3 linked regions of the Xenopus tropicalis genome follow. The protein of the gene in region 2 interacts with the protein of the main gene of each other region in a pairwise test. Links are inferred from orthologs where the notes say so. Each region holds a gene or a part of one and is shown on either strand. Other genes may lie near its edges. The genes, in order: zc3h15, drg1 and rwdd1.

What was found.
Region 1: the proteins of drg1 (region 2) and zc3h15 interact in binary tests that used the Homo sapiens proteins (3 or more experiments, as listed by UniProt). The two-hybrid records come from large-scale screens. The link is inferred for Xenopus tropicalis from reciprocal best matches to the Homo sapiens genes DRG1 and ZC3H15.
Region 3: the proteins of drg1 (region 2) and rwdd1 interact in binary tests that used the Homo sapiens proteins (3 or more experiments, as listed by UniProt). The two-hybrid records come from large-scale screens. The link is inferred for Xenopus tropicalis from reciprocal best matches to the Homo sapiens genes DRG1 and RWDD1.

Annotation. Positions count from the first base shown.
Region 1 is NC_030685.2:45,954,516-45,958,764, forward strand, and holds the start of zc3h15 (zinc finger CCCH domain-containing protein 15), read left to right. Parts: upstream 1-1,444; 5' UTR 1,445-1,549; coding exon 1,550-1,627; intron 1,628-4,249. UniProt on the Homo sapiens protein: Protects DRG1 from proteolytic degradation. Stimulates DRG1 GTPase activity likely by increasing the affinity for the potassium ions.
Region 2 is NC_030677.2:152,071,807-152,075,848, reverse strand, and holds the start of drg1 (developmentally-regulated GTP-binding protein 1), read right to left. Parts: upstream 2,856-4,042; 5' UTR 2,791-2,855; coding exon 2,749-2,790; exon of another isoform or gene 2,729-2,748; intron 2,546-2,728; coding exon 2,422-2,545; intron 1,251-2,421; coding exon 1,075-1,250; intron 277-1,074; coding exon 207-276; intron 125-206; coding exon 1-124. UniProt on the Homo sapiens protein: Catalyzes the conversion of GTP to GDP through hydrolysis of the gamma-phosphate bond in GTP. Appears to have an intrinsic GTPase activity that is stimulated by ZC3H15/DFRP1 binding likely by increasing the affinity for the potassium ions.
Region 3 is NC_030681.2:74,869,778-74,874,011, reverse strand, and holds the start of rwdd1 (RWD domain-containing protein 1), read left to right. Parts: upstream 1-1,430; 5' UTR 1,431-1,514; coding exon 1,515-1,587; intron 1,588-3,748; coding exon 3,749-3,814; intron 3,815-4,234. UniProt on the Homo sapiens protein: Protects DRG2 from proteolytic degradation.

The sequences.
Region 1 (4,249 bases), on a different chromosome or scaffold from region 2:
TACCCTCCAATTTAGATTGTAAGCTCTACGGGGCAGGGACCTCCTTCCTCTTGTCTTTGTGTAATCATTAATGCAACTGTACTTTTTATTTAATTGTAATGGTCCCTACTTGTTTATTCATTTATTGTTCTGCTGTACAGCGCTGTGTACATACGTAGTGCTATATAAATTAAAATATACATACATACATACTCATGCTGGACTGTGCAGGTAATATTAAACGCAAGAAAAAAAATTTGTGGGCAAGCATATCCCTAACAGAAGCTGTAACAATGCGTCAAATCAATTGTACAGGCAGCAGAGCACGGACTAATAAAGCTATAGGGGTACCCAGTGTACTTTAATTTACAACTGGTGTTGCCACCTGAAATTTGACCAGTCTAGCTAGTAAATCATCAGCTAGGGCTGGGGAGTTATTACAATCATAGAAGCAATGTACTTGCCAGTAAATTTGTAATACCCTATAATATCTTTCTCCCCGCTGCCCCATTCCCTTTATAAAATCAGACTTGTCTCTGCTTTGCCCATTTTCCCACTTTGCCACAAGTTTTCCATCCCATCAAATCCATCATCCCACCTGCTGAACTAATGCAACTGATCCAACAGTAGGTATTATGAGGGACAAAAGGTGACAATCCTAACTACACTTTTAGAGTATACTGCCTCAAATTCTTAATGCAACTGAAAAGAAAAATTATAGTGCTATATTGAGCAACAACCGGTTTTAAAGCCACTGTTTTGAAGCCACTGTTTTAAAAACCTGAATTAGAAGTACCCTGAATGGTTACCTAATGGAGTTGTTTGTGTACAGTAACTCCTCCGAGCTCCTCTAGTTTTCTAGCACTCAGTTCCCAATAAACCTACTTGGAAAGTCTAGGTGACAGCTAAAACAGCCTTGCCTACTGCTGATCTTTCCTGTGCGATCGGATTCGTCCAACATGGACTCGTAATAGCTGTGACAAATCCAAGGTCCAGGTGTATAATTTTCGGATGAGCTTGTACAAATCCCGCATAAAAATTGCCAGTATAAAACACTGACTGATGCGCTTGTAATTGCTCTGCGCCAGTTGGCATAATACGAAAACTTTTTCTTAAATTTTTATAAACTAATTCATACTTCTAAACGTAACGACAAAGTGGTTCATAGTTGATTGGGAGCGAGGAACTAATCATCTGAATACAGAAAATTGATTAAAAAAAAACCCAAAACGTTCACTATTTATAAGCCAACACCAATAAACCAAATCCCACACCTGTATAAAACACCTGCTCCATTAAACAGTTACAAATTCCACGCTATCCACATTATTTTCCCAGATGTAACGTTATTTTGTTTTATAGCAAAAATCAAAACTAAAAGAATTATATTATTTGGTAAATGCTACATTTTTATTACGTAAACGGAACGCACAAAGTTGATTCTTGTTATCATGTCGTGCGAAATCTCACGATAGTTAGACGGGAAATTACGTCAATTGAGCACTGTATTGCGCCGTAAAGCGAATGTTTTTTCCACGAGTAACGTTGGGTTAGTGCAGCGTGTCTTATAATGCCGCCTAAGAAAGCGCCGGCAGCACCGCAAAGCGGCAAGAAAACTGAACAAAAGAAAAAAGAAAAAATTATTGAGGTAATCGTATATGTATTGTGTTTGTAATAAACGCATACATGTTACGTTTTTTTAGATTTAGTTGCGAGTTAACATGGCCTTCCTCGCCGGAGTCTCTGTAAAAATATTAAATAAAAAAAGACAATTTCCCTTACCCTCCTGACTTAATAATGGTAGGATTTTTGATGCCTGTAGCAATTATACGTTCTTGAAACATTTTATAATATAAGTACATTATAACAAGCAAAGCATTTTTTCCCATGATACAAAAATAACAATAGTCTTTTCAATTTCGAAACCTAAAAGACCTAAGAATACTGTAAAGGCTGGCCAGCACAATAAGGGCTAAGGAGGAAAGGATGGTTTTTGGATTACAGGGAATAGTACAATTCTTAAGAAAAGCTGATTATTGTAATAATAGCATTAAAAAAAAAAACTGTTTATGTGACATTAGTATTGCTATTACTTTTTGTAATTTTTATCCATATTATCACCACTATGTTCGGCTGCTACCCAGTGGCCCCTTCAAATGAAAAGTATATCAAAAATTCAGATTTTTACTTTATTGCACATGTGCACAATCCTGGGCAGCTTTACTTTACATATGTGTGGTCCTGGACTGCTAGAGGGGCCTTGGCAAGCAGGTAAAGATTGTTGAATTGTGCTTTTAGGAGTTTATCCCAACGTACTTCTCCGTTAAAGGGGTGGTAACTTTTAGTATTTTATAGCGATCCTAATTCTAAGCAACTTTTCAATTAGCCTTTGGTTTTTAATTATTTGCCTTAGGCTGATGCAACACGTGGCGTTTTTACGCTGCATATTTTCTCAGCCTAAAAACGCCGAACAAGCCACACAGCCCCTGACTATGGCGTTTTTCAGCCTAGTACTGGTGATGTAGCAAATCCCGTTTCCATGGTGCTAATAGTGCGAAATAGTAAAAAAAGCCGCGTATTTCCGCTAGGTCTGGCAGCTGCCTTTGTGTATACATAGGAATAGGTTGCTGTGCAAATACTTGCGTATTTCGGCAAACGCTTGAAAAATCCGTGGTAAGGCTACAAATTTATTGCTATTGCTACTTTTTAATACTAATCTTTCTATTCAGGCCTTCACCTATTTGGATTCCAGTCAATGCATGACAACCAGATTGTTTAAATTGCAAACTGGAAAGCTGCTAAATAAGTAAATAAATAACCCAAAAACCATCAAGAACGAAGACCAGTTGAAAGTTCTTAATTCAAAGGTGAAAAACCCCTTTAAAATAGCACTAGCCTGACGAAATAGTTAAGCAATAGTAATTGATCACTAAAAAATAGGTACCCCAGTGATTGGTACTTTCCTTGTCTTTTAAAGGGGAAGGAAAGGTAACAACTAAGTAAGCATTATCAGAAAGGTCTATGTAAATACAGCCATAAGCACTCACAGAAACACTGCACTCTATCAAAAGTCCTCTATCAAAAGAAACACAGGGTTTCTTGTCTCCTTTTTTGTAAACATGTTGTTAGGGTATCTGACTTCCTCTCTCAGAAAAATCCTTCATTCCCAGGGCATGAGATTGGTGGGAATATGAGGGATTTTCTCTAGTTAATGGCCATCCCTTTACATTTTCCAAATTAATTTGAGATCCGATGCAGTGGTGGGGAAGAGGTAAGATTTGCCAACAGAAGGATATCATATAAAAAGCTATTTTCTACTCTGCTACCCTCAACCTAAGCCCTTCAGTCTGTGGAGTAGAATGTGTTGTTCATGGTGACACTGACCATTGTTGTGGCCTTGAGGCCATTGTAGAGGAGCTTAGCTTTACAACCATACATTTATATTGTATCTCTATTAGGAGAAAGCACCACAATTAAATTGTTGTATTAAACTTTATTGAAAAACTAGCAATAAGTACACCTGTTGTATTGCACTGTATTCAGTTTACTTTTTTGAATGATCAATAAAAGAAATGTTGGAAATAAAAGAGGAGCTCTGCTTTACACATTTTACAAACATTTTGTCACTGCTTAAGGCAGTCATCGTTTTGCATCTGTACAACCATCATACACATCCATCAAATGCCCTGTTGGCATCAACGTAGCCATCAGCAGTATTTTAGCATCCTAATTGGCAAAGGAAATCACATTGGAATAGTCTTTATGCAGACTATCATCTCAGGAGGTCTGAAAGATGTTATAGCTGAATTGTAAATATTTAGTAATTTGGATATATACCAATAGACGCTAAGATTTTCCTATGTAAAGTGATGATGACATATATTTCACTCCAAAGTTAATTAGTGCTCCTTGCTTAGATTAGGGAGTGAGATTTCATGCAGGAAGCATCTTCAAGAATATAGTCTTGGGTAAGGTGATTCAAATAACTCTTGGCAATGACAAATGGAGCCACTTCTTATCTTTGATGACAAAAATCCCTTTCCCTTGCGGGCAGTAGAAATTGCCATAGGTAAAGCGCAATGCCACCTTATGCATTATTGCATAATTATGCAGGTGAGGTGTTGTGTATACAGTTATTAGCTTCTTTGGTATATTGTTTGTTACCTTGTGGGATCTTTTCTGCACATCATAAATTTGCCTCCTTTGTTTCTGTATTCAATGATTTTATTTTTTGTTATCTTTGTCTTGGGGGTTTGATGTTGCTTATAGG
Region 2 (4,042 bases):
ATGTTTGGAGGCTGCTTGTTCAATCTGATTCCAAATCCCTCCAGTTCATTCTCTATGATCTTCTTGTGTCCGAGTGGTTTCAGTACATCCAAAACAATAAGGATCAAGTTACATGTTCGTGCCACTAAACAAAACAAAAATACATCAGCAGTAAAAATGTGTCCATCGTCCTAGGAGACTCAATCCTCAAAAATTAAAGATCTTACCTGCAATCACCTGGCGACCACGGCCCTTTCCATCCTTTGCCCCTTCTATGATGCCTGGAAGATCTAGCAACTAAAAACAAAAATATACCATCTTTGGTCATTGAGCTTAATGTCTCCGCATTCAGAGCATATCCATCTCACAAATGAAAATGTCATATACTATCTCAAATGTCTCCTGTAGCTTTGGAGTCTAAAGGGCAACATTTAAAGCAAATTTGAGATTTCTTGGCAAACAACACTCTTGAAAAATGCTACAGAGCATTTCTAGGCTCACATTTATCATTTGCTGGTTACATTTTCTAAATTACACTCAAGTTTCACCATAGTGAAAATGCTTGAAAACATACTGCACAATATTTACACAGGTTTCTGTTGATTTTAGTAAAAAAAATTCAAAAAAAAATCAAGAAACTGTTGAGAATACTTCAGTGCAGAAAAAGTTCAGTTGAAATACACACTAATGTTTTGACTGGATTTTGACAGGTTTCAGCCTGCACTTTTTGAAAGAGAATAAAGGAGACAATAGAAATCTATTATTTAGAATGCTTGGGATTTTCTGGAAAAGGGATATTTCTGTATTTAAGTCTACTAATATAATTAAACATTTTTACCACCAATATGGATTCATACAGCTTAGTTTGCATCAAGAACAAGGTACAGTTTTATTATTACAGAGGATGTTAAATTATTTGCTTATAATGAAGTCTAAAAGAGATGGCCTTCCCATAATTCAGCAGTTTCTGTATAACAAGGTTTCTGGATAATGGAGTAGCCTTTATTTTTTTTTTTTTTTAAGATTTTGTATTTCAACTTAACCTCTGATAAATAAGCTGCTATTTTAATTATTTTATATAAGTAAAACAAACACCTGAATTTTTGCTCCTTTATATCGCACAACACCAGGAACTGTTGTTAAGGTGGTAAATTCATAGGCTGCCACTTCAGAATAAACTCCAGCCAAGTTACTGAGTAGTGTAGATTTCCCAACAGATGGGAACCCAACAAACCCAATTCGAGCATCTCCTGTCTTAGCAACATCAAAACCTAAGTAAGAGACACAAATCATACATGTAAACTGTCAGCACATATCAAAAATATCAGAAAAAATCATCATCCTTTGTGCTCTTGGCCATTCTAACAGCTTATATTACATGTGAGAGCAAAAAAAATATATAGTTGTAATAGTAAGAACTAAAGCCAATCACAGTCCCACAGATATTGTACCACTACTTGAAAATAGAACCATTAAAGCAGACAATTTATCTGTGAGCTCTGTGAGGGAGAACATAGGCTTGATTAGCAAAGGTATATTCAACAGTAGGTACCACAGTTGAGCTTATACAGGTTAGGATTTTTCAGTAATTTGAAGCACCATGCTTAAGTCTAGTAAATGACAACATTTACAAATAACCCAAACCAATAGGATTTTTTGCCATATCCAAAGGCCTTTTAAGATGTTTAAATGTAACTTTGAAAAAAGTCTTTTTTTTTTTTTTTTTTACTTAAAAAACACAGAAGTTGTACTCATTCATGTACATCTCCCCAACATTGCCATCTCCCCAACATTGCCAATGTGCAGATGAAGTAACATGCTTCTCAAAATCAGGAGGCTACTGGGTATCAAGGTGGTTGTTACAGGGGTTATACAAACATGTTTAATGATCTATGTCTTAGGTTCTCATGACTGACGCCCTACACCAAAACATAATAAGGTAGGTGCTGGATTCAGAAATGCTAATCATAGTGATAAACGTGGCACTGAGGAAGGAAACCAGGTTCCATATTTATGCATCTTGTTTATTTCAATAAGCCAAAAAGATAAAAAAATTATTAATAATGTACATGGAAACAGTGACTACCCAGTGTTAAAATTTTAGTAAAAGTGGAAGTTTGCCTTTAATTACCTTTTGGTATTTTATTAAGGGGCTTATTCCAAAAAGAATTCAAATGGAATTTATTATAAAATATATATATATATATACACACACACAAATGTTTTTGTTTTACTTATTATTTCTAATCTAGCCAGATTCAGCCTGCAAAAAAATACTTTCTGGTTATTGTTACTGGCCATGGCAATCAAAAAACAGATTCAACCAAGAGATTCTTATGTTCGATTATCTTTCTTTTCTGTTCTTCTTAAATCCCGATTTGCGAAACACAGCATGGTTGCCAGGGTAATTAGGCCCTGGCAACCAGATAGTAGTTGATATACCTTCTCCAGGTCCTCCTCCGCCGCCTCCTTTTGGGGTAATCAGCTCACGTCTTAGTTTGGCAAGACGAGCTTTCAGCAAACCCAGGTGATGAGCTGTGGCTTTATTTTTCTGTGTCCGGGCCATCTGCAGGACAGAAAGCAGGCGTGTCACTGTCATACCTGGCACAGGTTATTGTCATTATTGCCTTTATGTTATCATAAACCATGACTGTCCCACACAGCTGCTTCAGCCATAACCATTCATCCCAGTGATTATCCTTACACACGTGCTCTCAACTATGTCCCCAACAAGTCGATATGCGCTAACCCTCCAAGTGTCTCAGTCACCTCGGACTCTATCTCGGCGATCTTAGCCAGCGTCCCGCTCATTGTGCCTCTTGACTAGGTGGCTTTTCCAGCACGAATCAGTAACAGAAAAGACAGGACCTCGCAGGGACACCACTGCTCATGCGCAGACACAACAACCGGCAGGAATGACGTCACACACGTACGTTCGGCCTCTTCCTTTTAGCTGAGGATAGCCCTTCGTGACGCAGATTTTCCTACTCTATGGTAAAAGCTGTCTTACTGGACGTTTTGTGCGTCCAATCTGAAAGTTGCAAAAACATTATATAAAATATAGAAATGTATAAATGAGTATTTTTATAAAAGTGGTGTAACTAGTAGTTGCTGGACCTCACAGTAAATTGATTTTAGGGACCCCCCCCTAAACCTTGGGAATGAGCTATTTTTCATAAACATATACTGAAATAGAATATTTTATTTTTTTCATGCCAGTGTGGAGTCCTATACCTTAATGCAGGGGTAGGGAACCTATGGCTCGGGAGCCAGATGTGGCTCTTTTGTTGGCTGCATCTGGCTCACTGTCAAATCCTTAATAAAAAAAAATAATGGGGGGCGTGGCCTGTGCTCGGCGGATAGAAGACATGTTCTAAGCCTTAGAACATGTCTTCTATCTGCCGAGCGCAGGCCACGCCCTCCTCCACATCGCATCCGGCATCCTTGGCACCCACCCTACCTTGCCCCTGCGCTCGGCGGATAGAAGATGTGTTCTAAGCCTTAGAACACGTCTTTTCTCCGCCGAGTGCAGGCCACACCCTCCTCTGCTTCGCATCTGCATCCGGAATCCTTTGGACCCACCCTAACTTGCCCCGCAGCATCCGCGGCCAAATATATTGTATGGCTCTCACAGAATTACATTTTAAAATATGTGGTGTTTATGGCTCTCTCAGCCAAAAAGGTTCCCGACCCCTGCCTTAATGTGTCCTATAATGCATAAAAATAATAATTACAGAACGTTCAAAATATGCTGTCCGGGGGATGGGCCAGCACACCCCTGAAATTTTTTTCCAAAGACTGTAAGTGAATGATCCATGAGTGTGCGCCCCCAGAAGTGATATCATGTGCAAATGTGCAGCCAAAGCCTAAAAAATAGGTACTTGCACTTGTACAATGTATGGGGGAGTTGACAGCTCTGGAATTATGATAGCTCTTTTCATATACTATTCTAAAGTCGTGAATAATATAAATTGCATCTACCGACTTTACTATTTCTTCTAGGCTTGCCACCTGGCAAGTATTTTATCGGTGTGGTCGGTAAAAATGATGCTTAATGCCAATG
Region 3 (4,234 bases), on a different chromosome or scaffold from region 2:
AGGAATCATTTGCTTTGGAACATGTATGGAAGCGCAATGGCTTGCCACTGGGTATGGCGCTCATTTGTGCACTCCCTAACTTGCGTAAACACTAAGGGCCCCAGAAGCTCACCTCTTAGCATTTATTTAAAAAGCACTTGTGTCTGGGGTTTGGCTGCACTCTGCACCAGATTAGAAATCTGCTGCTAGGTGCTGACAACAAAGGGAATATTTATCTAAATGTGCATTTATAGTTTAATACTTAATATCTCACCCATGTTCTATTCATTCCTATTTGATTTTTAGAAGCATTTTTATTAATGGGCGAATGTTAGAGTTCACTATTTAATAAACAGGCTTCTAAAAATCCCAAATGGATGAACACAAGGGATGAAAACATAATTTTGCCCCTTTATAGGTCTCTGGTAAGGTCTCACCTTGAGTATGCAGTGCAGTTTTGGGCTCCAGTCCTTAAGAAGGATATTAATGAGCTGGAGAGAGTGCAGAGATGCGCAACTAAACTGGTAAAGGGGATGGAAGATTTAAGCTATGAGGTGAGACTGTCGAGATTGAGGTTGTTTTACATTAGAGGAATGGAGCTTCCATTTGAAGCAGCGTAGGTGGTTTTTCACGGTGAGGGCAGTGAGAATGTGGAATGCCCTTCCTAGTGATGTTGTAATGGCAGATTCTGTTAATGCCTTTAAGAGGGGCCTGGATGAGTTCTTGAACAATCAGAATATCCAAGGCTATTGTGATACTAATATCTACAGTTAGTACTGATGTTGGTAAATATGGTTTATGTATGTGAGTGTATAGATAGGTCAGTATAGGTTTGTGTGTGTGCTGGGTTTACTTGGAAGGATTGAACTTGATGGACTTTGTTTTTTTTTCAATCCAACTTAACTATGTAACTATGTAGTTTAATGTGTAAAATACTCCCGGTTAAAGATAAACATATAACCATCCACCATAGATACCACTGCTATATACGAGTTTTTTTTACAGCTTAGAACAGTACTCGTCATCTTATACACTACTAGTCATTTTTACAGGCAGTTTTGTGGGAACTGACCCAGGACATGCAAAGTTAGAAAAAAATAGTTCTGAAAATCAACTCTGTTCAGATATAACCAGACAGTTTAAACAAAAATATTTGCAGTTTGATACATTATACATATATACATTCGTATGTACAAGGAACCAGCTAGGAGCATGACTTACCCGGCTGACTTCACTCGTGATTACTGCAGTGCCTATAGTACTATCTAGCCTATCAGATCGCACCCCTGCCAATGTAGACTTGGGACTTGTAGTTTATTAGGCGCTAGAGAGCAACTAGTACAGACCGCATCCCTCTGGCAGCTCTAGGGTTAATATGGACCCATGGCGATGCGGGGGAGGTGCCCCAGGCCAGGGGGAAGCAATCATTCCCAGAGAAGACGATCCTTTCCCGAGCGTGACCGGCCCGGCTCCATAGTCAGGGGCTGAGCGCTCTCCTTGTTTCTCTGCACACATCGCTCCATGGCCCGCACACCATGACGGACTACGCCGAGGAGCAGCGTAATGAGCTGGAGGCTCTTGAGTCTATTTATGCCGACTCCTTTACTGGTGAGCAGCGCTTGAAAACCGGTTCCTTTCATTGAGTGCTTGCACATCCTGAAGCCTTCCTTCTGAGAGTAAACTACAACTCCCAGAATCCCACGGCATTCGATGTCTGCGAGGTGTTGCTGGGTGTTGTAGTCCAGTGGGAGTTGGGTTAGACCCTGACTGATGGTTGTTGTGAGGGAACTCGTGGGACCCATTGGCTAACATGAGTTTGACAGTCGGACGCTAGGCCAGTGAAGCGCACACGTAGGCCTGTCTGGGTCAGGAGACATTTGTCGCAGTTTGTAGTGTATTGAATTGTAAATATAATGACTACGTTGTGATCCGAGCAGACCTTAGTAGCGCCTGCTGCTTTTAAACTGCAACTCTCAGCACCTGTCTGTCTGGGGCTACAGGGCAACTAGAGAGAACGTTCACGTTTCTTTAATGTAGATTCAGTAATAATGGGCTGTCTGTTACCCTAGCTTATGCACTATATGTAATAAAGCTTAGAAAAAATACCTTCTGCACCAAAGAGGTCCCTTTTTTAACTTTTGTGAAAGTACAGACCCCATATGGTGGGGATGGAATGCCAGGACTGCATGCTGAAGATCAGGATATTTTTTTAAAATCTATAATTGTTATACTATTTTTTTTTTTTAAATGTTTTACATTTTAAAGGTCCTGATAATACACAGTTTGGAATCTCTGTGCATCAGTTGGATTGTTGTAGTCAAGACATTTCCCATATTTCATAGATTGTAATCACTTCAAGGAACTTGCATAGTATTTACCCGCACTGAATGGTACCCCTGTTTGTGTTCACACCTTGTTGCAGCCCCTTATTTCCACAGCAGCATAAGGTCTGCAAACTCTATTGTTGCAGCACTGTCAGGGCACAGCCTCAGCTTTTCTCTGTCAGCAATAAATTGCATTGGTTCACATTGGCATGCAGATATCCGCTGTGTGTGTCTGCACACAGGCCGACTCCATTTCAGTGGGAGACGGCAGAGCGGATAGGAGTACGTCGGCAGATACTGCACTTAGTATGCCATTAATCTAAAGCTGGCCATACAGATGGTCGCACAAAATATCGTCAGATCCGCAACACACCATTCAGGGCTGAATCGGCAGGTTAGGAGGTAGAAACAATAGGATTTCTACCTCCTTCTGCCGATTCAGCGCTGAAGGGAGATTTTGGTCAGGCGCCTTCTATGGCGCCCGATCAAAATGTTCAAACTGGTCCGATCGGCGAGTCGGCCGATATTGGCAGCTTCCTGCGATATCGGTCGACTCGCCGACATACCATACACGCACCGAATATCGTACGAAACGAGGTTTCGTACGATATTATCGGTGCGTGTATGGCCACCTTAAAGGTGGCCACACGTAGCAATTTCTATCTTCCGTGTGGCCATTGGTTGCAGTACTGAATCATACGTTATGGAGGTAGAACCAATAGAAATTCAACCTCCTTCTGCTGATTCAGAATGTAGGTTTTGCTCGAGCGCCTTCAATGGCGCCCAATCAAAATCTTTTAAATTGCTCCATTGACGAGTTATCCACAGCCTTTTTCGATATCGGTCACCTTGTCGAGCCACCATACGAATATCGTACGAAACGAGGTTTTGTACAATATTATTGGTGCGTGTATGGCCAGCTTAAACCTGCTATTTGAAATGTCCACAGCCAGTTGTGCAATAACAAGTGTGTAGACCCCAAAACCTCTGTAGGAATAAGGGACTGTGATAATGGTCTAGAAAACAGATGCTGCTTCCAATGTGCCATTAGCCTTAGCGAAATTTAGATAAAGGGTTGGTGTCATGGCTATGTAGTGTGAGCAATGGCTCTTATTGTGAGTGTGTTTCTAGAATTGCTATATTCTAAAAGCAAGTAAGCCAGATGTTAAAGGTGAGATCATATATTATGTGTGAGATATATCAGGAATAAGCAAGATTTTCTTTAGCTTTTGCCACAGCACCACCAGTTCATCTATGGTAGTTTTGCTAGGTCTGTATTGTCAAAGAGATGTCTTCTTCTGGTTCTCTGTAAGGAAGACATGGAGCAGTGTAAATGCATATTTCTACAGTTTGATTCAAGGAAATATATTCTTGATGATAATGTTCATTAAAAAGCTATGTTAAATGTTAATATTAAACTTATTTCTGTATTATTCTATTTGCAGTGTTATCCACAACTCCTACAAGTTTTTCCATCACAGTAACATCAGAAGCAGGAGAAAATGAGGAAAGTATGTGTCCTTTTTATCATTCAGAGATGGTGAGGTGACTAGTCGTATTATCAATTTTAATACAGTGAAAGTCTGTTTCTGAAATACAACTGAAACCTTTTAGACCCCTAGCACATGGGATGTTTTTGTTTTTTTTTGGCAAAGTCCTGTCCGGGAGAACTTTGGATCTGTAGAATCTTATTAGCTGGCCCCTGTTTTTCACTTACTTGAATTGTAAATGTGCTGTTTGGGGCAGATACTTGTACCAGGCTGGCACTGTGCGTTTATCATTTCTTCTCACAGAAGTGTCTGCTATAGACAGTGTGTTTCCCATTCTGCTTAGTAGGAATTGAATACCAGCAGAGAAGGGTGTTTAGATCAGTGGTTCTTCCTGAGAGAACTGCAGTTCAGTGTTGCACTGGTGAATGGTTTTAAGTGTTA